Oryctolagus cuniculus: one gene and its partners. The protein of the gene in region 1 interacts with the protein of each later gene in a pairwise test. Links are inferred from orthologs where the notes say so. Each region holds a gene or a part of one and is shown in the gene's direction. Other genes may lie near its edges.

What was found.
Region 2: the proteins of RNF11 (region 1) and RNF168 interact in binary tests that used the Homo sapiens proteins (3 or more experiments, as listed by UniProt). The link is inferred for Oryctolagus cuniculus from reciprocal best matches to the Homo sapiens genes RNF11 and RNF168.
Region 3: the proteins of RNF11 (region 1) and WWP2 interact in binary tests that used the Homo sapiens proteins (3 or more experiments, as listed by UniProt). The link is inferred for Oryctolagus cuniculus from reciprocal best matches to the Homo sapiens genes RNF11 and WWP2.
Region 4: the proteins of RNF11 (region 1) and STAM2 interact in binary tests that used the Homo sapiens proteins (3 or more experiments, as listed by UniProt). The link is inferred for Oryctolagus cuniculus from reciprocal best matches to the Homo sapiens genes RNF11 and STAM2.
Region 5: the proteins of RNF11 (region 1) and UBQLN2 interact in binary tests that used the Homo sapiens proteins (3 or more experiments, as listed by UniProt). The link is inferred for Oryctolagus cuniculus from reciprocal best matches to the Homo sapiens genes RNF11 and UBQLN2.
Region 6: the proteins of RNF11 (region 1) and SMURF1 interact in binary tests that used the Homo sapiens proteins (3 or more experiments, as listed by UniProt). The link is inferred for Oryctolagus cuniculus from reciprocal best matches to the Homo sapiens genes RNF11 and SMURF1.
Region 7: the proteins of RNF11 (region 1) and RABGEF1 interact in binary tests that used the Homo sapiens proteins (3 or more experiments, as listed by UniProt). The link is inferred for Oryctolagus cuniculus from reciprocal best matches to the Homo sapiens genes RNF11 and RABGEF1.

The regions. Positions count from the first base shown.
Region 1 is NC_091438.1:121,670,606-121,674,105, reverse strand, and holds part of RNF11 (RING finger protein 11), read left to right. Parts: intron 1-3,305; coding exon 3,306-3,475; intron 3,476-3,500. UniProt on the Homo sapiens protein: Essential component of a ubiquitin-editing protein complex, comprising also TNFAIP3, ITCH and TAX1BP1, that ensures the transient nature of inflammatory signaling pathways. Promotes the association of TNFAIP3 to RIPK1 after TNF stimulation.
Region 2 is NC_091435.1:83,028,007-83,032,159, reverse strand, and holds the start of RNF168 (E3 ubiquitin-protein ligase RNF168), read left to right. Parts: upstream 1-1,353; 5' UTR 1,354-1,538; intron 1,539-1,666; exon of another isoform or gene 1,667-1,789; intron 1,790-1,876; 5' UTR 1,877-1,913; coding exon 1,914-2,214; intron 2,215-4,153. UniProt on the Homo sapiens protein: E3 ubiquitin-protein ligase required for accumulation of repair proteins to sites of DNA damage. Acts with UBE2N/UBC13 to amplify the RNF8-dependent histone ubiquitination.
Region 3 is NC_091449.1:53,031,632-53,035,131, forward strand, and holds part of WWP2 (NEDD4-like E3 ubiquitin-protein ligase WWP2), read left to right. Parts: coding exon 1-122; intron 123-584; coding exon 585-705; intron 706-965; coding exon 966-1,070; intron 1,071-2,204; coding exon 2,205-2,301; intron 2,302-2,479; coding exon 2,480-2,552; intron 2,553-2,970; coding exon 2,971-3,070; 3' UTR 3,071-3,500. UniProt on the Homo sapiens protein: E3 ubiquitin-protein ligase which accepts ubiquitin from an E2 ubiquitin-conjugating enzyme in the form of a thioester and then directly transfers the ubiquitin to targeted substrates.
Region 4 is NC_091434.1:89,730,179-89,733,678, forward strand, and holds part of STAM2 (signal transducing adapter molecule 2), read left to right. Parts: intron 1-495; coding exon 496-580; intron 581-1,857; coding exon 1,858-1,933; intron 1,934-2,044; coding exon 2,045-2,143; intron 2,144-3,500.
Region 5 is NC_091453.1:39,986,967-39,991,243, forward strand, and holds the start of UBQLN2 (ubiquilin-2), read left to right. Parts: upstream 1-1,477; 5' UTR 1,478-2,161; coding exon 2,162-4,039; 3' UTR 4,040-4,277. UniProt on the Homo sapiens protein: Plays an important role in the regulation of different protein degradation mechanisms and pathways including ubiquitin-proteasome system (UPS), autophagy and the endoplasmic reticulum-associated protein degradation (ERAD) pathway.
Region 6 is NC_091450.1:41,299,875-41,303,374, reverse strand, and holds the end of SMURF1 (E3 ubiquitin-protein ligase SMURF1), read left to right. Parts: intron 1-186; coding exon 187-271; intron 272-1,335; coding exon 1,336-1,435; 3' UTR 1,436-3,158; downstream 3,159-3,500. UniProt on the Homo sapiens protein: E3 ubiquitin-protein ligase that acts as a negative regulator of BMP signaling pathway. Mediates ubiquitination and degradation of SMAD1 and SMAD5, 2 receptor-regulated SMADs specific for the BMP pathway.
Region 7 is NC_091450.1:66,536,570-66,540,069, forward strand, and holds part of RABGEF1 (rab5 GDP/GTP exchange factor), read left to right. Parts: intron 1-26; coding exon 27-193; intron 194-3,500. UniProt on the Homo sapiens protein: Rab effector protein acting as linker between gamma-adaptin, RAB4A or RAB5A. Involved in endocytic membrane fusion and membrane trafficking of recycling endosomes. Stimulates nucleotide exchange on RAB5A. Can act as a ubiquitin ligase.

The DNA.
Region 1 (3,500 bases):
CAAATATTTTTAAAAGTTGCTGCTTTTATACTCCAATCTGTTCAACTCAGTGTCTTTCTCGTACTAAATAATTGATAACAAGCATATCACACCTTTTTTAAACGGATATGATAGAAATTAAAATACGAGGCTGGCGCCACGGCTCACTAGGCTAATCCTCCGCCTAGCGGCGCCAGCACACCAGGTTCTAGTCCCAGTCGGGGCGCCGATTCTGTCCCGGTTGCCCCTCTTCCAGGCCAGCTCTCTGCTGTGGCCAGGGAGTGCAGTGGAGGATGGCCCAAGTGCTTGGGCCCTGCACCCCATGGGAGACCAGGAAAAAGCACCTGGCTCCTGGCTCCTACCATCGGATCAGCGCGGTGAACCAACGGCAAAGGAAGACCTTTCTCTCTCTCTCTCTCTCTCTCTCACTGTCCACTCTGTTTGTCAAAAAATAAAAAAAAGAAATTAAAAAAAAAGAAATTAAAATACGAAGTTAGGGGTATGTGGTAAGAAGGGTGAGGCCACATTCATCTTTAAATACCAGGATGCCTTAGTCATTTCCTTCTGTGTTTTTCTGAAAAGATGCATGTGAATCAAAATTAAATTGTCGGCCGGTGCCACAGCTCACTAGGCTAATCCTCCACCTGCGGTGCCAGATCCCGGGTTCTAGTCCCGGTTGGAGCGCTGGATTCTGTCCCGGCCGCTCTTCTTCCAGGCCAGCTCTCTGCTGTGGCCCAGGAGTGCAGTGGAGGATGGCCCAAGTGCTTGGGCCCTGCACCCGCAAGGGAGACCAGGAGGAAGCACCTGGCTCCTGGCTTCGGATCAGCGTAGTGGGCTGGCCGCAGCGGCTGTTGGAGGGTGAACCAACAGAAAAAGGAAGACCTTCCTCTCTGTCTCTCTCTCTCACTGTCTACTCTGCCTGTCAAAAAAAAAAATTGTCGAATCATTTTAATTATCTAGAAGGTACTGAGAAGGTACTAGGTACTGAGAAGGTACTAGAAGGTACTGGTTTAACACAAAACAAAACCACCAAAATGACAAATATATCCATAATGTGAATTTTATGGTGGCATAGTAATTTAAGACGTTGCTTGGGAAACTCGCATCCTATATTGGAGTTTCTGGGTTTGATTCCTGGCTCCACTTCATATCTAGCTTCCTGCTAATGTGCACCCTGTCGGGCAGCAGGTGATAGCTCAAATGTTAAGTCCCTGCCACCCACTTAGGAATCACATATGGAGTTTCTGGTTCCTGGCTTTGACGTGCCTCATCCCTGTCTGTTGCTAGCCTTTGGAGAGTGAACCAGTTAATGGGAATTCTCTCTCGTGACTCTCAATAAAATCTATTTGTTTGAAAGGGGCAGAGAGAAAGGGGAGAGGAAGAGAAAGAAACAGACAGAGATCTCCCATCCTAAAATTTCCAGATGCTAGTAGCAGCTATGACTGGGCAATGCTGAAGCCAGGAGCCAGGAACTCTGTCAAAGTATTCTCTGTGGGTGGCAGGGACCCAAGTATTGAGCCATCATCCACTGTCCCCAAGGGTTCATGTTAGCAGAAAGCTGGAACAGGGAATAGAGCCAGGACTTGAACCTAGGCACTCTGGTATGAGATGCCAGTGTCCCAAGTGGCATCTTTACTACCATGCCAAATGTCCTGCCTGTGTAGTACAACTTTGTTCTTCTTTTCTGCTTTCTGTGTTCCCTATAAACAGTGAATCATAAGACTGAAGAAATCTAACCACAAAAAAATGCATGCTTAGAAATTTTTACCTAAAATTCTCTCCTACATCACACTGCATCCCAATTCCATTTCACTAAAGTAGCTCAATTTTAAATATTGTGGTTACAAATACAGTTCTTTTGAATAACAAAAAATTTATTTATTTGAAAGGTGGAGTTACAGAAACAGAGAGACACAGAGGTCTTCCATCTGCTGGTTTACTCCCCAAATGGCCACAACAGCCAGAGCTGATCCGATCTAAAGCCAGAAGCCTGGAGCTTCTTCCCTGTCTCCCACATGGGTTCAGGGGCCCAAGGACTTGGGTCATCTTCTACTGCTTTCCCAGGCCATAGCAGAGAACTGAATTGGAAGAGGGGCAGCTGGGACTCGAACCAACACCCATATGGGATGCTGGCACTGCAGGTAGTGGCTTTACCCACTATACCACAGTGCTGGCCCCTGAACAAAAATTTTTTGTTTCTTTAAAAGCCTATTTGATTTGGGGCTTACATTGTGGCATAGCAGGGTAAGCCACTGTCTGCAACACCTGCCACTCAGTGGGAGACCCAGTAGGTATTTCTGGCTCCTGGCATCTGCATGGCCCAGCTTTGGTCATTGTGGCCATTTGGGAAGTAAATCCTCAAATGAATCTCTGTGACTGTTTCTCCCTGTCTCTCTGTAAGTCTACCTTTCAAGTAATCCCTCCCTCTCCCAAAAAAAGTTTTTTAAAGGCTGTGTTAAATTTTTAGACTAGGTAGTTTAAGAACATGATATCGGGGGCCAGCATTGCATTGAAAAGTAAAAAATTGATAGTGTTGAGGCATATGCCACAGGTGAATTCACTGAGAAAATATTCTTGAAGAAAAGTCATTTTGGGGGACTGGTGCTGTGGCACGGCAGGTCAGTGCCACGGCCTGCAATGCCAGCATCCCATATGGGTACCAGTTAGATTCCCAGCTGCTCCACCTTCAATCCAGCTCCCTGCGGAGGCAACTGGGAAAGCAGTGGAAGATGGCCTAAGTGTTTGGGCCCCTGGCTTCGGCCATGCCCAGCCCTGGCTGTTGGGGCCATTTGGGGAGTGATCCAGTGGATGAATGATCTCTCACTATATGTATCTTCTCTCTCTCTCTCTCTCTCTCTCTCCAACTCTGCCTTTCAAATAAATAAATTTGAAAAAAATTGGTAAACTGGCATAATTCCATCGCAACCTATAGAATATTAAATTAGCTTATTGAGTACAGTCTGGTTCATTAATTGCTTGACAGATCTGTTTATATTGATTTATCTGTTGGTGTATTCAGAATGAGCATATCTGGGTAAATTCTTCATGTGGAACTAGTTAAATTAACATTCCATGCAAGTTTTTAAGTGTTGCTTGTTTTTAGATCCTTTAAAAGTAGGTCACATATCTAAATGTGAATTTTTTATGTATTTTTTGTTCTAGAAGTCAATATTAAGACACAATCTGCACAGTAGACCAGCTTGCTATCTCTCCCAGGACCCCTTCTGCTTGCCATATGTAGCCTCCTACCCCCATTAAAAAGGAAAAGCATGATCTCTAGAAATTTTCTTAAAAAATAATCATTTTCTCCATTTTTAAAAATTTAGGAACAAGTTCCTGTTCCAGTCTATCATCCAACACCCAGCCAGACTCGGCTAGCAACTCAGCTGACTGAAGAGGAACAAATTAGGATAGCTCAAAGAATAGGCCTTATACAGCATCTGCCTAAAGGAGTTTATGACCCTGGAAGAGATGGATCAGAGAAAAAGATCCGGGAGTAAGTTTTTAATAAATTTATACTT
Region 2 (4,153 bases), on another chromosome or scaffold:
CACACAAGTCAGAAACTCCTAAAGATAAAGCAAAATGCAGGCACTAAGTAAGTTACGATCAAAACCATTATTACTAGGAACTGTACATGATTGGATGAATTTAAAAGAAGGGAATCCCTGTGTGATGGGGGAGGTCATAGTTGCATGCTTTCAGAGTAATGGAAATGTCCATGGGAAAAGCAGGTTGTGGACACATTAGGAAGTGGAATTTCAGGCTAAGAGACTGTAGATAGCTGGGTGATAACCTCAAGTTCCTGAACCCAGTTAAAACAAAAGTGCTGGGGCTGGTGGGTGATGCTCTCTACCTGCCACACTGTGAACCAGCATCTCATACATGGGGACCAGTTCCATTCCTGGCTGCTCCACTTCTGCCAGCCCTCTGCTAATGTGCTGGGGAAAGCAGCGGAAGTGCACCCATGGGGGAGACCCGAATAAAGCTCCTGGTTCCTGGCTCAGCGTCTGCCTGGCCCAGTCCTGGCTGTTGGGGCCATTTGGGGAGTGCCTCCTTTCTCTAGGTAACTCTGCCTTTCAAATAAGTAAGTAAATCTTTATTTTTTTTTAAAGAGTTTTATTTATTTCAGAGGTAGTTACAGTGAGAGGGTGACAGAAAGGTCTTCTGTCCGCTGGTTCACTCCCCAAATGCCTGCAACGGCAGGAGCTGCACTGATGCGAAGCCAGGAGCCAGAAGCTTCTTCCTGGTCTCCCACGCGGGTGCAGGGGCCCAAGGACTTGGGCCATCCTCCACTGCTTTCCCAGACCATAGCAGAGAGCTGGATGGAAGCGGAGCATCCGGGACTTGAACTGCGTCCATATGGGATGCCGGCGCCACAGGGCGGAGGCTTAACTTACTATGCCACGGGACCAGCCCCGAAATTTTGTTTCTTGACAATAACTTTGGCAAGCAACCCTTAGATCACTCATTAATAGAAACAAAAAGGTACTCTTGTACTGCGGGCAGAATTATAAAAATTAATGTTCGAGTCTTTAATTCGTTCTGAGGCTTCACGTTTCTGTCCACACGCCAGTCTTGAGGCACTCAAGGATATCTGCAGCCTCTGGGGGCAGAAAGCCAAGGAAAGATCTGGATCTACCGCAGCAGAACCGCGGGAACGGGGACGGCGGGAATGGGTGGGGCCTTCTCCTGGGAAGGCGGGGCAGGCCGGGATTGGGCGGCGCCAGCGCGCGCGCGCGCGGCGGCCTCGGAAGTCCCGCCTCGCCGAATGTTCGCTGTTGTGTTTCTGGACGGTTCGGCGGATCGGAAGTGCCATTTTGGCGGCAGTTGTGACGTCACTGGTCTGTGTACGGTTGCTACGGGACCCCGCCACGAGTAGCCCGAAGAGAGGGGCGGAGCGCGGAATCCTAGGAATCTGCGCGGGACACCCAAAGGCTCGAACTGGGGGCTCGCGGCGGCCCTCACGGCCCCGGGAAGACGGGGGCCCTGCGCGGAGCTCGACGTCCGGCGGAAGCAGTGCTCTTCCCGGATCCCGCAGCGGCCCCGGCACTGGGGGCCCCGGAGCCAAGAGGCGCATCCCGCCGAGGTAAAGCGGAAGCAGAGGACGCGGGCCCACTCCACGCCGCGCCGGGCGCCCGCACGCCCGCACGCCCGACGCCGCGCGCCGCCGCGGCCGCGCTGTTCAACTGCCGCGTCAGACGGAAATGTTCGTGTGTTCTCTTGGGGCATGTTCGTCTTCCCGGGTATTGCTCTTTACCCGCGCCTCGGAGCGCCTGCCTGCTCCCAGACGTGTTGGATGCTCCCCGTCTCTGAATTTTTGGCACGCTGCTGAGCTTCGTATGTAAACGCGAAACTTAAATTGGTGCCCGGTGGTTGACCGAAAATACGATCCTTTTTTTTTTTTTTTTTTTTTTTTTCTGGCAGGTGTTCATGTTGACTAGGCCTTGTTAGCAATACTAAAATGGCTGTGCCCCAAGACAACATCCCTTCCCTGTCGGAGTGCCGGTGCGGGATCTGCGTGGACATCCTGATCGAGCCGGTGACCCTCCCTTGCAACCACACGCTCTGTAATCCATGCTTCCAGTCCACTGTCGAAAAGGCGAATTTATGCTGTCCCTTCTGTCGCCGCCGGGTCTCCTCGTGGGCTCGCTACCATACCCGAAGAAAGACTCTTGTCAATATGAAACTGTGGGAGATGATTCAGAAACACTACCCGAGGGAATGCAAGCTCAGAGCTTCGGGGCAAGAATCCGGGGATCTCGGTGAGTGAAGCCCAGCGTGTTGAAGACGCAGGAGTGTGTGTTCAAGTTACTCTTGGAGGCTTTGCGTTTCATGGGCTCCAGAATGTCACAGTCATGGGCATGATTGTGGCTGTTGTTACAGTGCCCGAGCTTGTGCCTAAATATTGAGGGGAGCAGTGGTGGAAGTGCGCAGAGGGAACCGCTGATTCCTGTGTTAGTATTCTTATTACATTCACTTTGTCTGTCTCTTGACTGCCTCGTCTGTACGTCCCCATCATTTCTTTTACTATTCTTTTTAGCATGCAACGACCTAAAATAGCTCTGTGTTACCTGTTCCGTCCATTTCGGTCATTTTGAGTGTGAGCTTGGGAGCCCCACGCTGCACCCCTGACTCTGCTTGTCTCTGCTCCTGTGGGCAGTGAGCCATGTCGTGTTTCCTGTCTAAGCTTTGGATGTGCTGTTCTGCTCTGGTGTGCCTACCCTTTGATTGTTTTATTGTAGTTTAAACAGATAACAGAATTTGCTATTTTTAAACAATACTCACTTTCTTAAAAAACGGTTTTCCTGGCATATTTCACATACCGTTCACCCATTTAAAGTGTGTAATGTGATGGGGTTTTGGTATGCTGCATTATTAATTTATTTAAAAGTTGTAAAATATATGCAACAAATTTTGCCATTTTAAGTGTACAGTTCAATGGCATTAATTATATTCACAATGTATTATCTGGTTTTAAAATTTTCATTACTACAAGTAAACCCTTTCACCATTAATTAATGAGTTCTTCCCCAAGATCTAAGTTACCCTTATTCTAGTTTCTGTCTCTGAATTTGCATATTCTAGATATTTCATATTAGTGCAATCATGCAATATCTTCTGTGTCTGGCTTATTTCACTTAGCATAGCATGTCTGAAGTGCATGCACACTGTAGCATTTATCAGTTACTTCATTTTTGATTAATATTTTTCTGATATATGCTACATTTTGTTTATCTGTTCATTCATTGGTGGACATTTGGAATTTTTCTACCTTTTAGATATTAGAATGCTACTGATACGAACATTTGGTACAAATATTCGTTTGAATATTTGTTTTCAGTTTTTTAGTGTCTACAGTCATACCTCTGCATCCAAGGGGTTCTACTTTTAGTATCTTGAGGATGCTAAAATTCGTGGATGCTTAAGTCTCTTGTATAAAGTGGCAGTGTATTTGCATATATAATCCATATACATGCTTCGACATACTTTAAATCATCTCTAGATTATATTTAATACCTAATATAATATAAACACTATACCAATAGTTGTATTGCTCAGGGAATATTGATAAGAAAAAGTCTGTACATTATTTTTTCTTGAATGTTTTCAATGATTGATCCCATGGATGCAGAGCTTGCAGCTACAGAGGCTGCCTGTAAGCTAGGTGTGGCATTGCTGGATCGTACAGTAATTCTATAGTTAGCTTTTGGAGAAGTGCCAGCGTTTTTGACAGTGGCTATGCTGTTGTACATTCCCACTGACTATGTGCAGGATGTCCAGTTTCTTTACATCCTCACCAGTACTTGTTATTTTCCATGTTGGTGTTGTTTTTTAATAGCCATCCTGGTAAATGTGAGGAGGTATCTTACTATGTGTTTTCTAGAATTATGATAAACATAACAGAATTTACCATTTTTAATTATATAGGTCAGTGGCATTACATACATTCACACTCGGTGCGTTCATTGGTACCATCCAGCTCCAGAGTTTTTAATCTTCCCAAACTGAAACCCCACTTTCAGTAAACATTAACTCCTCATTTCCCCTAGCACCCATCATTCTACTTCCTGTCTTTATGACATAATTTCACTGTTCTCAGTTCTTTATCTAAGTGGAATTATGATACATATTTGTCCATTTATTTCTGGCTTATTTCACTTAGCATGTCTTCAGTGTTTATCCATGTGTAGTATATGACAA
Region 3 (3,500 bases), on another chromosome or scaffold:
TGTGGCCTGGAGCTGTACTTCATCCAGGACATGGAGATCCTGGGCAAGGTGACGACGCACGAGCTGAAGGCCGGCGGGGAGAGCATCCGCGTCACCGAGGAGAACAAGGAGGAGTACATCATGTGAGCCCCATTTACATCTGTCTTGAGAGCGGCCGAGGGCCAGAGTGGTGCCGTCGGGGAGCTGGCCGTGGGCCTGTTGCTGCAGGCTGAGGGCTGTTGTGTTGCGTGCGGGCTTGAAGGGGCAGGGAGCGTGGAGGTGCCGGTCTTTGTCCAGCGCAGGATTTCTGTGTCTGTCCGCGGGCATCCCCGCTTGTGTGGGCTCCGCTGGGCCTCTCAGGCGGGTCTTCAGTGCCCGCAGTCCCCACGTCTCGGGCTCGGGCAGTGGTGGGGCAGCAGGAGCAGAGGAGGGTGGGGCGGGGGCTCCAAGGACGTGGCCGTCTGCAGTCTGTCTGTGAGCTGCTCAGGCTGCACTCTGGGGCCTTCCGCAGACAGGGCCAGGCTGCCAGGAGTGGACGCGGGGTGGATTTGCTGCCACCGTGTCCTGGCCACACCTGAGCAGGGCTCTTGGGTCTCTTGCTCTAGGCTGCTGACCGACTGGCGCTTCACCCGCGGCGTGGAAGAGCAGACCAAAGCCTTCCTGGATGGCTTCAACGAGGTAGCCCCTCTGGAATGGCTGCGCTACTTTGATGAGAAAGAGCTGGAGGTGAGTGTCGGAGGCCCAAGCCTGCTCCTTGACGTGTTCACCTTGCACCCTCGGTCCCCCCAGCACGGCGAAGCCCGCACTTCCGCACGACCGGAGGCAGCAGGCAGACGGTTCTGACCTGGGTCCTTAGCATCTACCCCGACACTTGTTTTGAGAAAGCAAGGGCTTGGATCATCTGAGTTACTAAAGCCCCTGGTGCAGCAGCCAGTGGCCGAGGCGGGCGTCGCTGGCACAGGCTGCTGACGCCTCTCCTCCCGCAGCTGATGCTGTGCGGCATGCAGGAGATAGACCTGAGCGACTGGCAGAAGAACACCGTGTACCGGCACTACGCCAAGAGCAGCAAGCAGGTCCAGTGGTTCTGGCAGGTGGGTGCTGCCCGTTCCCGCGGGCGGGGCAGGGGGCTTGCGGGGATGTTTAGGGGCCACCCAAAGGAAGAGGGGCTTCCCTGGGCCTGACTCAAGGATTCTTCCTCTTTGACCCTGTCCTCATCTTTCCCAACTTGTGAAAGGAGATGAGACGCCCAGCCGTGGGTGGGTCCCGGGCAGCCAGCATGTTGGCCGGTCGTGAGCTGCGCGCGGGCGGAAAAGCGCCTGCTGGTCCTGCGGTCCTGCGGCTTCCCTCAGCCGCGTGAGCTGGGGAGGCTGGCTCGCAGCTGCGGAGCAGCAGGGAGACTGGGCTGTATGGGTAGGGTTTGCTGTTGTCATTGTCAAATGTCGCATCCAGCGGAGTGTGCACGCGTGTACGTTTTTGTGGGGGTGAAATCGCGTGATTTGCAAGTCTCCTTTTTAAGTCTTTAAAGACACACAGCCCAGCAGCTTTAATATGTTCATGATGCTGTAGCTTCGCCACCACTGTCTTAATATTTCACCCCCACAGACTCTGTACCCATTAAGCAGTCTCTCCCATCCTTAGCACATCTTTTAAAAAAAGTTCTTCTGTTTTATGTTTTTAAAATATTTATTTAAGAGGTAGAGATGAGGCAGAGAGAGAGAGGTCTTCCATCTGCTGGTTCACTCCCCAAGTGCCACAATTAAAAAAAAAAATGGCTGAAGGTGGGCCTGGCCGCAGTCAGGAGCCGGGAGTGTCTTCTGGATCTCCCACATGGGAGGCAGGGGCCCAGGAACTTGGACCGTCTTCTGCTGCTTTCTGAGGCCATAGCAGAGAGCTGGATCAGAAGAGGAGCAGCTGGGACTCGAACCAGAGCCCATATGGGATGCTGGCGCCGTGGGTGGAGCTTAGCCACCACGCCACAGCGCCAGCCCCTTCAGCACATTTGTTAAAGGAAGAGAATACCTGGCCCAAGGTATCTCTAAGAGAAGGTGTCCCTTGTTCTGCCCATACAGCCACTTAGGGGAAGCACCTTTGTGGCGGCCTGGGTTGGTGGCTGGCATGCCCTGCCCAGTCTGGCCAAAGGGGCCTTGGCTGGCCCTGGGGTTTCTCAGGGAACGAAGTCCTGGGCCGAATGGGTCGCTGACTGCGTTTGGTGTGTGGGGCTGCAGGTGGTGAAGGAGATGGACAATGAGAAGAGGATCCGCCTGCTACAGTTTGTGACCGGAACCTGCCGCCTGCCTGTTGGGGGATTCGCCGAGCTCATCGGTAGGTTTTTCTTTGCCCGCTGTGTCCCAGCTGGTGTGAGGGGGGCCTGGAGTCTTCGTGCAGCAGTCAGTGGGCATGGGTTGGGAGGAGCAGGGGTCTCCTGTGGGCACCTGGGCTGTGGCCAGAGAGCCAGGTGCCTCAGCTGACAGCAGGTGCCTTTCTCCTCAAATGACCGCAGGCAGCAACGGACCCCAGAAGTTCTGCATCGACAAGGTTGGCAAGGAAACCTGGCTGCCCAGAAGCCACACCTGGTGAGCATGCTGGTTTGGCTGCGAGGAGCCGAGCTGCACAGGCCCCGTGAATTCTGGGGAGTGCCCAGTGGGCGCAGCAGCTGCAGGGCCCTGGGGTGCTGGCTTGGAGAGTGGTGTTGTGACGTGCCTGGGCCACTCGGCCTTCCAGGTGTGACATTTGGAGCCACGTCCAGCCTGGTAGGCCGGGAGCCGCTGCCACCACTGCCCCGCCCCTTACCGCTTCCCTGGCTGCCCCGCCCTCCCTAAGCCCCGCCCACCCTGGTCCAGGAAGCCAAAGCCTAAAGGTCCTGGGCGCTGGCGGCTTCTGCGGGAGCCACCCGGTGGGGTGAGCTGTTCCCTTCCCCTGCAGCCAGGCTGGGGCGCGCGTGGCTGGAGGGGCCAGGCCTCGGGTGCGACTGCTGCTCTCCCCTCTCCACAGCTTCAACCGGCTGGATCTGCCCCCGTACAAGAGCTACGAGCAGCTGAAGGAGAAGCTGTTGTATGCCGTCGAGGAGACCGAGGGCTTCGGACAGGAGTGACCGAGCCGGCCCCTCCCACGCCCCCAGCGCACACGTAGTTCCGAGTGCCCCTGCCTGAGAGGCCGCTGCCCGCGCAGCCCTAGGGAGCCCCCGGGGGGCCACCCTGCCTGCTTGCTGGTGGCCGGAGACCTTGAGCCCAGCAGGCCCTGTGGCAGCCTGGAATAAAGCCCCTTGGCACCTTTGGCCCCCGCACCCACTGCAAAGTGTGGAGGGCTGCCTCTCTCCAGAACACCCTCCCCTCCCCTCCCCTGGGACCAGCCCCGGGTGGGCGTGAATGTGCGAGGGTGAGCAGGAGGTCGGGCACTTGCGTTAGCGGCTGGGGCACCCGGGGAGGCCATGGCCCAGCCCTCACAGCTCCTTGCAGCTGGGTGCCTGCGGGAGGGCGCGGCGGACTCCTCCGGCTGGCTTCCTTTGTCCTTTTACATAAACT
Region 4 (3,500 bases), on another chromosome or scaffold:
AGGCAGAGAGAGGAAGAGGGAGACAGAGCAGGAGACACACACACACACATATCTTCCATCTGTTGTTTTCTTCTCCAAACATCCACAATGGCCAGGGCTGGATCAGACAGAAGCCAGGAGCCCAGAACTCCATTCATATCCCCCATATGGGTTGTAGGGGCCTAAGCACTGTGGCCATCTTCCCCTGATTTCCTAGTTGCCTTAGCAGGAAGCTGGACAAAGTGGAGCAGCCAGGAATTAAATTAGTGCTCATTTGTGATGCTGGTTGGCAGGCGGTGGCTTAACCTGCTGCGCCACAATGCCCTCCTCCCCTCCAGCATTTTTAAGTTGACTAATCCAAGAACATGTAATTATATAATTTGAAATTGCCAGAATATTCTGTGTGTTCAAGTACATCCATAGTTCTTTTATCTCTGGGAAGGGAAAAGATAGGGCTTTGTAACTGCGTTATGTAATTTTTGCTCTAATTTTTGCTTCTGACTTTGTATCTTATAGAAAAAGCCACGAATGAGTACAACACCACAGAAGATTGGAGTCTTATTATGGACATATGTGACAAAGTTGGAAGCACTCCTAATGGGTAAGATGTGCAGTCATGCCAGTAAATGTCTAGGAGTTTGATAAATCTGTGTCATTTTAGTGATGCTACTTGGAAAGGAAAATGGGGTTTTACTATTGAACTTTGGAGATAAAAGTTAAGAAAGCCTGGAGGCCAGATTTTTTTACATTACTTTTACTCTGAAATAAAAAATGGAAAGGTTCATTTGAAAATCTGAGCTATATTAGATACTTAAAGCCTTGATACAACACGAACATGTGTTAATACTGACTAGATTAATTATTTGGAGAATTTTCCTCTGACTTAGACATGTGTGAGAGGCTTTTGATATTGAAGTAGATAAATATAATAATACAATAGGTAATACATATGATGAGAAAGCTTTTCAATAATGGATAGGTAAGTATAATAGGTAACAGTGGAAAAAAAGAGAATGCAACAGTTAAGCTGAATGGATTATACTTTAGAAGAATGATAAAAGCATTTGGGTTGGTTAGTTTGTTTAAAGATTTATTTATTTATTTGTAAGACAGAGAAGGAAAGACAGCACATGGCTCAATCTACTGGTTCAGTCTCCAAATGCTCACAACAGGTACTAGTAGGCCAGGCTGAAGCTGGGAGCCAGGAACCCCATCTGGGTCTCTCACATGGGAGCAAGAACCTAAGTACTTGGGCCGTAATCCACTGCCTTCCAGGGTACATATTGGCAGCAAGCTGGTCAGCAGCGCAGAGTAACTGACACTCCAGTATAGGATGCAGGCATTCCAAATGGCAGGTTAACCCACTGCATCGTGTCTACCACTTTATCATTTCAGCTGTTCCATAGCACGGTCATGTTTTATACTTGAACCTTTTAAAACCATATACTAGTATGTGTCAATTTAAAAATTTATGCACCAAAGGAATTTAATTTTCATTCTATTTTCCATGAGCTTTTTGAAGTACCCTCATATCTTTCTGATTTTTTTCCCCAAGAAAAAAATTTGCTCTCTGAAAGCTGAGTCTGTTGAAGAAATGAAAACTTGGTTTATATGCTGTAATTCTCATGTGTTAGCTGGCCTTTTGTGAAATCACTGATCTTTTGATTTTGGAATGTGCAACATTTACAGCAATTTTTTTTTATGATTGAATATCTGGACAAAAGATTGTGTAAAGCAATTTTATAGATTTATTTCTTTAAACAAGTGCAGTTTCAAGGACTTTACCTTTAAATTTAAGGCTGTTTGGTAATGAAAGACCTTATATTTTTAATGTTTAAATTGAAATTCTCAGTGATAACTTTCTCCATTTCTTTGTAGAGCAAAAGATTGCCTGAAAGCCATAATGAAAAGAGTAAATCATAAGGTTCCTCACGTTGCTCTGCAGGCGTTAACTGTGAGTAAAAGTCACATTGCTATTTGACTCAAATTTTAAATGTGCATTTATTTCAGTGAGTTAAGTAAGATATTTCAACATTTGTATATTAATTTTTATTTTAATTAATAGCTTCTTGGGGCTTGTGTGGCAAACTGTGGAAAGATATTTCACCTAGAAGTATGTTCCCGTGATTTTGCAACAGAAGTACGTGCTGTGATAAAAAATAAGGTAAATTTTTAAATGAGCAGATATTTAAATCATTTAAAAATAACTATTATGTCTCAATTATATATCTTAGTTATTGTAATTGAAATAATTTTTAGATAAATGAAGTAAACTTATTTTTTTAAAAGATTTATTTATTTACTTGAAAGTCAGAGCTACACAGAAAGAAAAGGAGCGGCAGAGAGAGAGAAAGAGTGAGAGAGTCTTCAATTTGCTGGTTCACTCCCCAATTGGCTGTAACAGCTCGAGCTGCGGTGATCAGGAGCCAGGAGCTTCCTTCAGGTCTCCCATGCCGGTGCAGGGGCCCAAGGACTTGGGCCATCTTATACTGCCTGCCTAGGCCATAGCAGAGAGCTGGATTGAAGTGGAGCAGCTAGGGCTTGAACCGGTGCCCATATGGAATGCTGGCACTGCAGGAGGCAGCTTTACCCGCCACTGCGCCAGCCCCATAATAAATTTATTTCAAATTTGAGTTTTAAAAAATTTTCTCCCCAAAGCATATGTAACTATTGGACACAACTAATCTTTATTGGGGTTTAGTAAGCAGTTACTGCTTTAAGGATTTTACACATGCTGTCGAATGCAGTTAACCAGCCTTGGAAGTTGTCTTGTTGCTGTTTCATAGATGCAGAGATAGGGGCTTAGAGAATTTGTCCTGGATCATGCAGCCAGTAAGTAGTACAGCTGAGATTCCTATCTAGGGTTCTGTGATTCCAGACTTTAAGCACTAGCCACTATTCTGTGCTGATTCCAGTTACAGTTGCTGAGCAAAGGGGCCTTTATTTTACAGTGAAACTCTCAAGTACTTTTCATATGCTATGAGGTGCAGAAATCCTCAAATTTATTCTAATTGATGTAAAAATCTATTACTTAGAATATTAAGAAAATTTAAAAGAAATAACCTCTGAATATTAAAGATTTGTTTCCAGTATAGTCAGACTTAAAAATTGATGTTCAAAAAGGTGATTTTGGCTGGCGCTACGGCTCAATAGGCTAATCCTCCACCTGTGGCACCGGCACACCGGGTTCTTGTCCTGGTCAGGGCACCGGATTCTGTCCCGGTCACTCCTCTTCCTGTCCAGCTCTCTGCTGTGACCCGGTAGTACAGTGGAGGATGGCCCAAGTCTTTGGGCCCTGCACCCGCATGGGAGACCAGGAGAAGCACCTAACTCCTGGCTCCTGGCTTTGGATCAGCGCAGTGCACCAGTCGCAGCACGCCGGTTGCAGCGGCCATTTTGGGGTGAACCAACGTAAAAGGAAGACCTTTCTCTCTGTCTCTCTCACTGTCCACTCTGCCTGTTTAAAAAAAAAGAAAGTGATTTTATGTGAAGCAGTTATATTTTAACATACAAATACTATC
Region 5 (4,277 bases), on another chromosome or scaffold:
TTTTTGAAATAAAATGAGTTTTTACAGATTTAATTAAAATTCCCTTTAATCACTCTTCCGCATCCTTTTTCATTTCCTCTTCCATATGGGTGGAAGTTTGGAATAAATCATTGTAGTATATTTCTAATAGAACATTTCCCATATATGTGAGTGTTTCTATAAACACCATAGACCATGGTTTGGAATGTGCTAATAAATTAGGTTTTTTATTTTTATACATATATTAATATATTAAAATAAATTTATTATTTTGATTTTGTATCATATTAATCATACTCTATTATTAATTGATGGCTACCACATACCTTTATTTTTCTAATCATGATATATTAAGGTGTTGGTGACCCAGTGATTTTGACTTGCTGTTAAAAGTTCCCTAGATACTTAAAGGCAGAACTATTTTGTCTGTGGTCCTAACCAGGGTTAGAATTACATACATAAATTTGTATTTCTTCTATTATTCAATTTCTCTTCATCAGCACTGCCACATCTTTACTTAGTTTAATCTTTAATGAAAGGAAGTAAATATGTTAATATCTGCCATTACTATTGTGTATTTATCAATTTCAACCTATACTCTTTCTCCAAAATATATTTCTGATTTAAACAATTATAAATAAAGTGCATACTTATAAAAATCATCTGAAAATTCAAAATCTTTTAAACGCAAATTAAGAATCATTGACAATTGAAGCACTCAGTAATAACTACCATCATTAACATATTGGTGTATAGCCTGTAAAGTTTTCCTTTTTTTACATGCATTCATGCATGCATGCAACCAGTCTAGATATACAACTAATTGTCAAATATTAGTTCTAAAATAATTTATTGTATTTTTATATTTAGATATACATGGTTGTACAGTTTCTAACATACAGAAATATATAAAGCCAAAAGCAAAAACACTCTGAAATTTTCCCTGTAAGTATAGTTTATTTCATATACAACTTTAAGGAAATTAACCACCTGTGTTTTAAAGATAGCAAATATTACTTCATTATATAATATAATGTGCTTGACTGGTCCCCTGTAAACAGAGTACTTTAAAATGTTTAAATAATATTTTTAAATGGTGCAGTTCTTATCCATATAATACATATTTTTGCATCCTTATCCAATTGTTTTAAGATGTCTGTAGATGAGAGATTTCTAAATAAAGGTGGTAGAAGCATTTTAAATGTTAATGTTTATTTTCAAATTGTTCTATAACAATTCACACTTCAACTAGCATGAGAGTGCATTTTTTCAGCTCCCTGTCAATGAGGTTTACCATTATTTTTCTTTTGCCAATACAATAAGCCAAAAGTAGAATTTCATTGTTTTAATTTGAATTTCTTTGATTACTAGTGATTTAATCATCTTTCTTATGCCTAATGGCCACTTACAGGTTTTTAAAATGCAAGCTCTTGCCGGGTCTTCTCCCCTTCCCCCATTGTGGGTGGTCCTCTCTCCTTTTTGCTTTGTCAGAGTTCTTTATTATTCATCTTTTGTCTTTTATATGGGATCGGTTTGATTCATGCTTTCATCCTTTTCCTGCCTTACAGATTGCGAACATATATTCTCCATTGGTCTTTTAATGTCGTTTATAGAAGCTGGTTTCTTCTGCCTCCTCCCTCTCTTCCTCCCTCCCTCCCTGCTTCGCTTCTTGTTTTCTCTTTCATTCTAGTCCTTGCTCTTCTCTTTTTGTTTCTCTCCCCCTTTCCCTTTCTCTCTCCCTCTCTTCCACTCTCCCTCTCTCCCTCTGTTTTCAGGGCAGAAGTTTTTAATTTTGACCGAGTCAGATCTATCAATCAGGGCCTGGCGCCGCGTCAGCAGAGTGGGGCGGGGAGGAGAGCGCGGAGCTGGGGGAGGGGAAGGGGCGGGGAGGAGCGGGCGGAGCGGTTGCGGGAGTTGCTGGGAGTGCGCGCGGTCGGATCACAAGCGGCGGCGGAGGAGGCCCAGAGACCTGAGCGCGGAGACCTCAGCCTGAGGCCTACGCTGAGCCCTCTCTCCACCGGAGGACCAGGGAACCGCAGTTCTCATCACAGAGGTACCGTGCTCCGCGCTCCCCGCCCGGCCCGACTCAGCCCGCTGCGGCGGCGCCTCCTTCCTTCCTCTTTCCCTCGCTGTGTCTCGCCCGCCCGCGCCTTCCCTGCCCGCCTGCGTCACCGCGGCCGCCATGGCTGAGAACGGCGAAAGCAGCGGCCCCCCGCGCCCCTCCCGCGGCCCTGGTGCGGCCCAAGGCTCGGCCGCCACACCAGCCGAGCCCAAAATCATTAAAGTCACTGTGAAGACCCCCAAAGAGAAAGAGGAGTTCGCAGTGCCCGAAAATAGCTCGGTCCAGCAGTTTAAGGAAGCGATTTCGAAACGCTTCAAATCTCAAACCGATCAGCTAGTGCTGATTTTTGCCGGAAAAATCTTAAAAGATCAAGATACCTTGATGCAGCATGGCATCCATGATGGACTGACTGTTCACCTTGTCATCAAAAGCCAGAATCGACCTCAGGGCCAGTCCAGTACACAGGCTAGCAGTGCCGCGGGAACTACTACTACCTCGGCGTCGACTCCCAGGAGTAACTCCACACCTATTTCCACAAATAGCAACCCTTTTGGGTTGGGGAGCCTGGGAGGACTTGCAGGCCTTAGCAGCCTAGGCTTGAGCTCTACTAGCTTCTCTGAGCTCCAGAGCCAGATGCAGCAGCAGCTCATGGCCAGCCCTGAAATGATGATCCAAATCATGGAAAATCCCTTTGTTCAGAGTATGCTTTCGAATCCTGATCTGATGAGGCAGCTCATTATGGCCAATCCACAGATGCAACAATTGATTCAGAGAAATCCAGAAATCAGTCATCTGCTCAACAACCCAGATATAATGAGGCAGACCCTTGAAATCGCCAGGAATCCAGCCATGATGCAAGAGATGATGAGAAATCAAGACCTGGCTCTCAGCAATCTCGAAAGCATCCCAGGTGGCTACAATGCACTACGGCGCATGTACACTGACATTCAAGAACCGATGCTGAATGCCGCACAAGAGCAGTTTGGGGGTAATCCGTTTGCCTCGGTGGGGAGCAGTTCCTCCTCTGGAGAAGGTACTCAGCCTTCCCGCACAGAAAATCGAGATCCACTACCTAATCCATGGGCACCACCACCGGCCACACAGAGTTCTGCGACCACCAGCACGACCACAAGCAGTGGCAGTGGATCTGGCAGTGGCTCCAGCAATGCTACTGGGAACACCGTGGCTGCAGCTAATTATGTCGCCAGCATCTTCAGTACTCCAGGAATGCAGAGTCTGCTGCAACAGATAACAGAAAACCCCCAGCTGATTCAGAATATGCTGTCTGCACCCTACATGAGAAGCATGATGCAGTCACTGAGCCAGAATCCAGATTTGGCTGCACAGATGATGCTGAATAGCCCTCTATTCACTGCAAATCCTCAGCTGCAGGAGCAGATGCGTCCACAGCTCCCAGCTTTCCTTCAGCAGATGCAGAATCCAGACACACTATCAGCCATGTCAAACCCAAGAGCAATGCAGGCTTTAATGCAGATCCAGCAGGGACTACAGACATTAGCCACTGAAGCCCCTGGCCTCATCCCAAGCTTCACTCCAGGTGTGGGAGTGGGAGTGCTGGGAACCGCCATAGGCCCGGTCGGCCCGGTCACTCCCATAGGCCCCATAGGCCCTATAGTCCCTTTTACCCCGATAGGCCCCATTGGGCCCATAGGACCCACTGGTCCTGCAGGCACCCCTGGGTCCACTGGCTCTGGTGGCCCCACTGGGCCCAACGTGTCCAACTCTGCACCCAGTGAAACCACGAGTCCAACATCAGAAGCTGGACCGAACCAGCAGTTCATTCAGCAAATGGTGCAGGCTCTGGCTGGAGCAAATCCTCCACAGCTTCCGAATCCAGAAGTCAGATTTCAGCAGCAACTGGAACAGCTCAACGCAATGGGGTTCTTAAATCGTGAAGCAAACTTGCAGGCTCTAATAGCAACAGGAGGCGACATCAATGCAGCCATTGAGAGGCTGCTGGGCTCGCAGCCCTCGTAATTACATTTCTGTACCTTGAAAAAAATGTATCTTATTTTTGATAATGGCTCTTAAATCTTTAAACACACACAGAATTGTGCTTTACTTTGATTTTGATGCTTTTAAATCTGTCTAGTTATAAATCTTAATATGATGCATTTTAAGGTGGAGTCCTTCCCTCCCTCTTTCCTTCTTTTCTCCCTTCCCCCTTCCTACCCTTCCCCATTCCCCTTTCCCTTTTCCCTCTCCCTCTCTTTTC
Region 6 (3,500 bases), on another chromosome or scaffold:
CGTGGTGCCCCCTGCTGGGCCACCCAGTCCTTCCCAGCTCCCCTTGCCACCCGTGAGCTGGCTGCCCAGGCACTGCTGTCCCCGCGACACAGGCGGAGCCGAGCCACCAAGCACACGGTGCCCGTGGGCGAGGGCGTGGGCACAGCCTGCCTCTGAAGCGCAGTAACTAGAATGTTCTACCGTAAGGTTCCACAGGCGCCGCAGGGCCCCGGCTGTTCACCATCCACCTGATAGACGCCAACACAGACAACCTCCCCAAAGCGCATACCTGGTAAGAAGCCCCGGGCCTGCGCCTGGTCCCGGCTGTTTGCATGTGCAGGACTGTGTGTGGTGAGCACAGGGTTTCAGGTGTTTGTGCCCCCAGGACACGTCAGGAGAGGCGTCCTGGCTGCCGCGCGCACAGGCCTGCGGGGCTCCTCCCACAGTGGGCGTTTCTGCGCCCCGTTTCCCGCCTTGGACCTCCTCCCTTGAGGCTTACATGTTGCTAGCCGGGGCGAAGGATTTGCAAAAACCCACTCTGCGCACACCGCGCATCGGCCCCCTCTGTAGGACGAGCCGAGCAGGGGCCCACCATCACGTGGCCAGGGCGCAGGCCTGGAGGGTCCTCTCTGGAGCTGAGAGCCCCCAGGTGGGATTCGGGTGGGTTACCTGACTTCCTAGCCCGACTGTCCGCATCTGTGAAATGGGTAACACACGAAGGCAGGCCCGGGGGTGAGGGCGTCGTGGCCCTGCCTCCAGAGTGGCTGTGGCGCTCAGGACCGGGATGTGCCTGCGGGCCCGCCAGCCCCTCTCCTCTGGCTTCCGTGCGGTGATGGTTCAATGCGTAAGTGGCCATGGGGGACGCTCCAGGAGCGCCAGCCCTGCACCGCGAGGCTTCGTCGTTGAACGCCGGGCCGTGCACCTGTTACAGGAGAGCAGCCGTGTTACCGAGGGCTTTCTCTGCATCAGCCCGGGAAGTGCACGTCCCCCGGAAACAGGAAACCACCGGGCATCTCCGACTCTCGGGGCCTGGATGTGGTGGTGCAGCACCTTTGGGGAGCAGTTTGTGTCTCCCCGAGAACACAATTTTGGTCTCAGATCAAGGCCCAGGGGACTGGACAACCATGCAGTAGGTGGTTAGTGGGGTCTGGATTCCCGGGACAGAGAAGCGCCTCCCCCCAAAGACAGAAGACGAGTGTGCCCCAAGCAGCACGGGGGCTGCCCCGGGGCCTGCCAGCCTTCAGACTGCTTTTGCTGGGAAACCGTTGCACTGGGGGGGGGGGGGGGGAGGGCGGGGCGGGACTGGGCTCACCCCTGAGCCTGTCCTGCCCGTGACCCCGGCGCTCTGTCCCCCAGCTTTAACCGGATCGACATCCCCCCGTACGAGTCCTACGAGAAGCTCTACGAGAAGCTGCTGACCGCGGTGGAGGAGACCTGTGGGTTTGCCGTGGAGTGAGGAGCAGCCCAGGCAACCGACTCCAGCTCACGCCCACCAGACCAGCGTACGCGTCTGTGCGCCTCCCGCAGCGCGGGCGGAGGCCCTGGGATGGCGGAAACCCAAGGGACAGGGTCGTCTCCCTCCTCCTCCCCGGGGAGGGAGGGAGCAGGGACTTGGGTTGGTGGCTCCCACCCGTCATCTTGGTCACAGTCCTCTCCCCTCCATCACCCATCAAATAAAGCGGCCGGCGTAGCCTCTCGCCCCAGTCGCACGGACGCTCTGCGGGGGTGGCCTGCACGTGGCGGCCAGGCTCGCTGGCCCCGCTGAGGGTCTGGAACTGGCCGCTGGTGCCCCCCGGGGGCCTGAGGTCCGGGCTGTTTCCTGTCCGGGAGCCTGGCTGAACGATGTCTCCCACCCCGAGACCAACTCCCCCTTCTTCGCCGCGTTCTTTATCCCATGGGAAGGTTTCTCAGTGAGTCCCACGCGAGGAAGCGACCAAAGCGCAGAGCAGAGCAGCGGGTGGCGGGGAGACAGAGGCAGGCAGACCCGCCCGGTCCCTGTGTCACAGGCAGGGGGCGCACACGGTCACACTCGCCCGGGTGTCTCCTGGGCGGAGCGAGGCCACAGCCAGGCCACCCCAACGTTTCCAGCCCATTTCCACTGCGCATAGAAGTTCAACAGTGTTCGTTTTCACGAAGCGGCCCAAGTTCTGTGGACACGGGTTCCCCGGGGGGGTGTGTTCTCTTGTCTGGGAGCGGGGGCGGGGAAGAGTACAGGGTAGTTCATTCTCAAGACATTTCACTGCTGTCGACTTTGAGTTGGGCCCTGGGCGTCCGCTGTGGCCGCCCTGGCTGCTACCGGGCCTACAGGCGCAGTCTGGTTTGCGGAGGGAGCTGGGGTGGGCACGGGCTCTGCACTGCCTGCGTTGCAGGCTCCAGGGTAGAAGGTGGCCCAGGCGGGCCTGAAGGGGGAGGAAGATTCCATGCGTTCCAAAGTCCCGGCGACCCCGTGGGCCTCGTTCCCAAGTTCTGCCTTGCCTGTCGGCTTCTGCGGCTCCTTCCCGTGGGGCCCCAGGCCCCAGCCCTGCGGTAGTATGCGAAGGAAGCCAGGGTCGCGTGGCGAGAGAGACTGCGGGGCACTGCACTGCCGGAGCCTTCAGTTCCTACCATGGTTTGGTCTTCAAACCACCCCAAAGAACGCCGTGGCGGGCATCTGGTCCAAGCCCCCGGTCGCTCCACGTGGACGGGTCCGTGTGATCTCGTGTGTCGTCCCCTCGCGGTCCCGGGCCCGCCTCACCAGCGGTCGTCAGCCGACACTCAGGGATGCAGCCAGCCACCGCCCTGCCAGGCGGCGGCCGGGGACGCTGTGGGGACAGGCGGAGACCAGGGTGTGCCCACGGCAGCCTTCCCGAAACATAGGATGAATTTTTAAAATTTGCTTATTTTTGTTTCTCAACCACTTTATAATGTATTTTTAATTTATTTTGTAATGTCTTGTTTTTAAGTATTGCTGCTATCCTTGTTAATCTTCCCACTGTTTTTATTGCTGATTTATTTTGTGAAAGTTGTACACTAATGTTCTGTTTTATGTCAAAATCAAAAGTATTTAAAGAAATCCTAGTTCTATTTAATGTGGTCATGGAGCCCGCTGGAAACACAAAGCAGACAGCGACTGGCACACAGGCTGGCCCCGGGAGGTCAGGTTCATTTTGTTACATATGCAATAAACTCACCACTTTCCACGTGCGGCGTCTGTCACTCGGGCATGGCCATGGGACTGTCGGAGCCTGTGGCGTGTCTCCAGGGGCGCGAGGACGGGGCGGAGGACGGGCAGGGTCTGCTGAGTGCTGGCTCTGCCGGGGTGGGTTTTCTCCTGTTTCTCTCTCTCAGTCTTGCCACAGGGATGTGTGCACTGGGTCACTTGTCAATTCTGCCGCCACCACTTTCTCATGATCGCCGTGAGGTGCAGGTGCGGGCCGTCTGTGCCTGTGTCTGGCTCACTTCTCTTGGCTGGAGCACACGCTGGGATCTCCCCCGCTGGGCTGGCCGTAGGGTATCGGTGCTCACCAGGCCCTGCACTGTGT
Region 7 (3,500 bases), on another chromosome or scaffold:
ATTCTTAATTGTCTCTTGAATTACAGACTTCAACGGGAGGAGGAAGAGGCCTTTGCCAGCAGTCAGAGCAGCCAAGGGGCCCAATCTCTCACATTTTCCAAGTTTGAAGAAAAGAAAACCAATGAGAAGACCCGAAAAGTTACCACAGTGAAGAAATTCTTCAGTGCTTCTTCCAGGGTTGGATCAAAGAAGGGTAATTTTCTGATACTCATTTTTTTTCCCTTTTGACTAGATCTGGGAAGCTTTTTAATTTTTGTAAGCTTTTAGAGAACAGCCTAGTTTAAGACTGAAATTGAGTTTGAAGGTCAGTGTAGGAAACCAGTACTTTCTTTGGTTGGAGGGCATTGTGTCTTAGAGAAGCTGTTGTTTGTTCTATAGGAGGAATAAAATGAAATAGCAGGATACAGTTGCTTATAACATGAATTCCTCTCCAGATGTCTGTCTCTCTATGCCTTTATATTATTTGGACCTGCTTTGTTCTTTTTATGCCTCTCACTGTCTAGCTGATCAGAAATGGCTGATTCTGGGGTGAAAATCTGGGAGAGAAATTTTGTGAGAGCTTACTTGAGAGGTTGTGTCTTGAGGAAATATACAGAGAACATATAAGAAAAAGTTCACTTAGGACTCTTAGCACAGATGAAAGTAAGCCATAGTATTTTCTAGTGCATGGATTTGTATGTAGATGATTTTATTTATCCTACAGTTTTTTTTGTGTGTGTGTGTGGTTTTTTTTTTTTTTTTTTTTTTTTTTGACAGGCAGAGTGGACAGTGAGAGAGAGAGACAGAGAGAAAGGTCTTCCTTTACTGTTGATTCACCCTCCAGTGGCCGCCGCGGCTGGCACACCACGCTGACCCGAAGGCAGGAGCCGGGTACTTATCCTGGTCTCCCATGGGGTGCAGGGCCCAAGCACTTGGGCCATCCTCCACTGCACTCCCTGGCCACAGCAGAGAGCTGGCCTGGAAGAGGGGCAACCGGGACAGAATCCGGCACCCCGACCGGGACTAGAACCCGGTGTGCCGGTGCCGCAAGGCAGAGGATTAGCCTATTGAGCCACGGCGCCGGCCTATCCTACAGTTTTAAAAAATGTATTTAAGAGACAGAGAGCAAGCTCCTATCTACTGGTTCATGCCTCAAATGTGCATAAAAGCCAGGGTGAGGCCAGGCTGAAGGTGGGAACCAGGAACTTAATCCAGGCCTCCCACTTGGTTGACAGTTATTTAGCCATCACCTGCTGCCCCTGCCCTCTGCCTCTCCCCAAACTCCCCCCCCCCCCCACACCATGGTCTACATCAGCAGGAAACTAGATTTGGGAACAGAAGGTGGGAAATGAGCCTGGACATGCTGACATGAGATAGAGGCATCTTAACTGCTAGGGTAAATGCCTGCCCTAGCCTACTTCTTAAAAATACTATGTAACCGGCAGGAGGATTATCATTGAAGTCACACTTATTCTGCCATTGAGCAAATGAACTAGTTGCAGTGACCTTGCATGAATAGTAAGAAAGAAGTTCTGTTATTAGGGCTCAGTTTCTTTCTTTTGATATTCAGTGAGGTAAATTTGAAACATTAGTGAGACTGGGACCCAATATTGATGCTGTCAGAAGAGCTTTTCTCTTGGAACTCTCTCTAGGTCCACAGTCCCCACCCCAGAGTAATTTTCTTTGCCTAAAGGCAACAAAATAAATAATAATGTCACCTCTTAATATCCTTGCTGATCTACCAGATATGGTGACTACTGTTTTCTGTATTACAAAGAAAGATTGCTTATGACTAAAACCACAATACTTCTGTTTAAGAAATGTACACTTTTAATAATCTTTATGTTCAAATTATTGATTTGGAGTTGTTTCTTTATTGGCAATTAGTTGTAGCAATTTTCTCTTTATTGCATAAGAAGGGAATAATCAGTACCTGCAGAGATTAAATAAGAATATATTTGGCTCATAATTTATTAGGAGGTTGTATAATAAGGTGGTTAAAAGCATAGGCTTTGGAGTCTGGGTTTGAGTGCCAGCTTTGCCATTCACTAGCTGTGTGACCTTGGGAAAGCTAATCTGAGCCCTGTGTACTTGGAGGAACGATAATACCTACTGCAATGAGGCTGTGAAGAGGATTAAATGAGTTGATGCAAGTACGTAAAGTGATTAGCACAGTGCCTGACAAACAAAGTAAGAGAAGTAAGTGTTAGCTCCAGTGTTAGATATTTTAAAGGCAGATTGCTTTTCTGATAGAATAATTTCTGCTGGTCAGAAGCTGAGGGGCATTCATCAAAGCCGTTTATTGCTGCTTCGCTTAAATTCTGTTTCCTGCTTTGTGAAAGGCTTGTTAACCTTACATAGAGAATTTGTGATAGTGAAATAGTATGTATTTATGACAACAGATGAAATAGTAAATAATTATAAAGCTATCTGTTCTAACAACCTTGTTTTACAAATGACTATATGCAGTCCATGAAGGTTAACTAGCTTACTGAAGGTTATGTAATGAGTTGGAGCGTTGGGACTCAGGTCTTCTAATCCTGGTTCAACCTTTTCTCCTTATATACCATTACCTCAAATATGTATAGCTGATTGATTAATATAAATATATGTTGGATAAGGCTTCTCTTATTTAAGTACATGATAGTCGTGCACATTCTCTCACTGTCCTTGCTGGCATAAAAAAAATCTCTGTACAATGTGGGTCATATCCTGGAAAGATTCATAATCCGATGCAGATCCTGAATTTGAAAAAAAAGATTATTTATTTGAAAGGCAGAATGGCAGAGGAAGACAGAGAGATCTTCCATCTGCTAGTTCACTCCCCAAATGGCCACAATAACCAAGATTGGGCCAGGCCAAAACTGAGAGCCTAGAGCTCTATCCCATTCTTGCACATGGGTGGCAGGGGCCCAAGTATGTAGACCATTTTTTGCCATTTTGCCAGGCACATTAGCAGAGAGCTGATCAGTAGTAGAACAGCCAGAATTCAAACCGGCACCCTAATATGGGATGTAGGGGTAGTAAGCAGTGTCTTAATTCACTGTTCCACAACATTGGCCCCAGAGCCTGTGTTTTAAAAATGAATGATCACAATTGATTTTTATTTTAAAAAACATGTATACAGAATAGTTTTTTACCTTTTTTCTTTTGGATAATAGTTATGTATTTCAGATTTTTTTCCATTTAGTTGTTTTGTTTTTGTAGAAAGTTTCTGATGGGAAAGTCCTTAAAGTTTGTTTGTTTTTAAAGATTTCTTTGCAAAGCAGAGTTACCAGGGCGGGAGGGGAGGGAGAGATAGAGAGAGAGATCTTCCATCCTTTGGTTCACTCCCTAAATGGCTGCAACAACTGGATCTGGGTTGATCTGAAGCCAGGAATCAAGATCTTCTTCTGAGTCTCCCATGTGGGTGCAGGGGCCCAAGGACTTGGGCCATCTTCTGCTGTTTTCTCAGGTGCATTAGTGGGGAGCTGGATGGGAAGGGGAGCAGCTGGGACTCAAACAAGCACCCATATGGGATG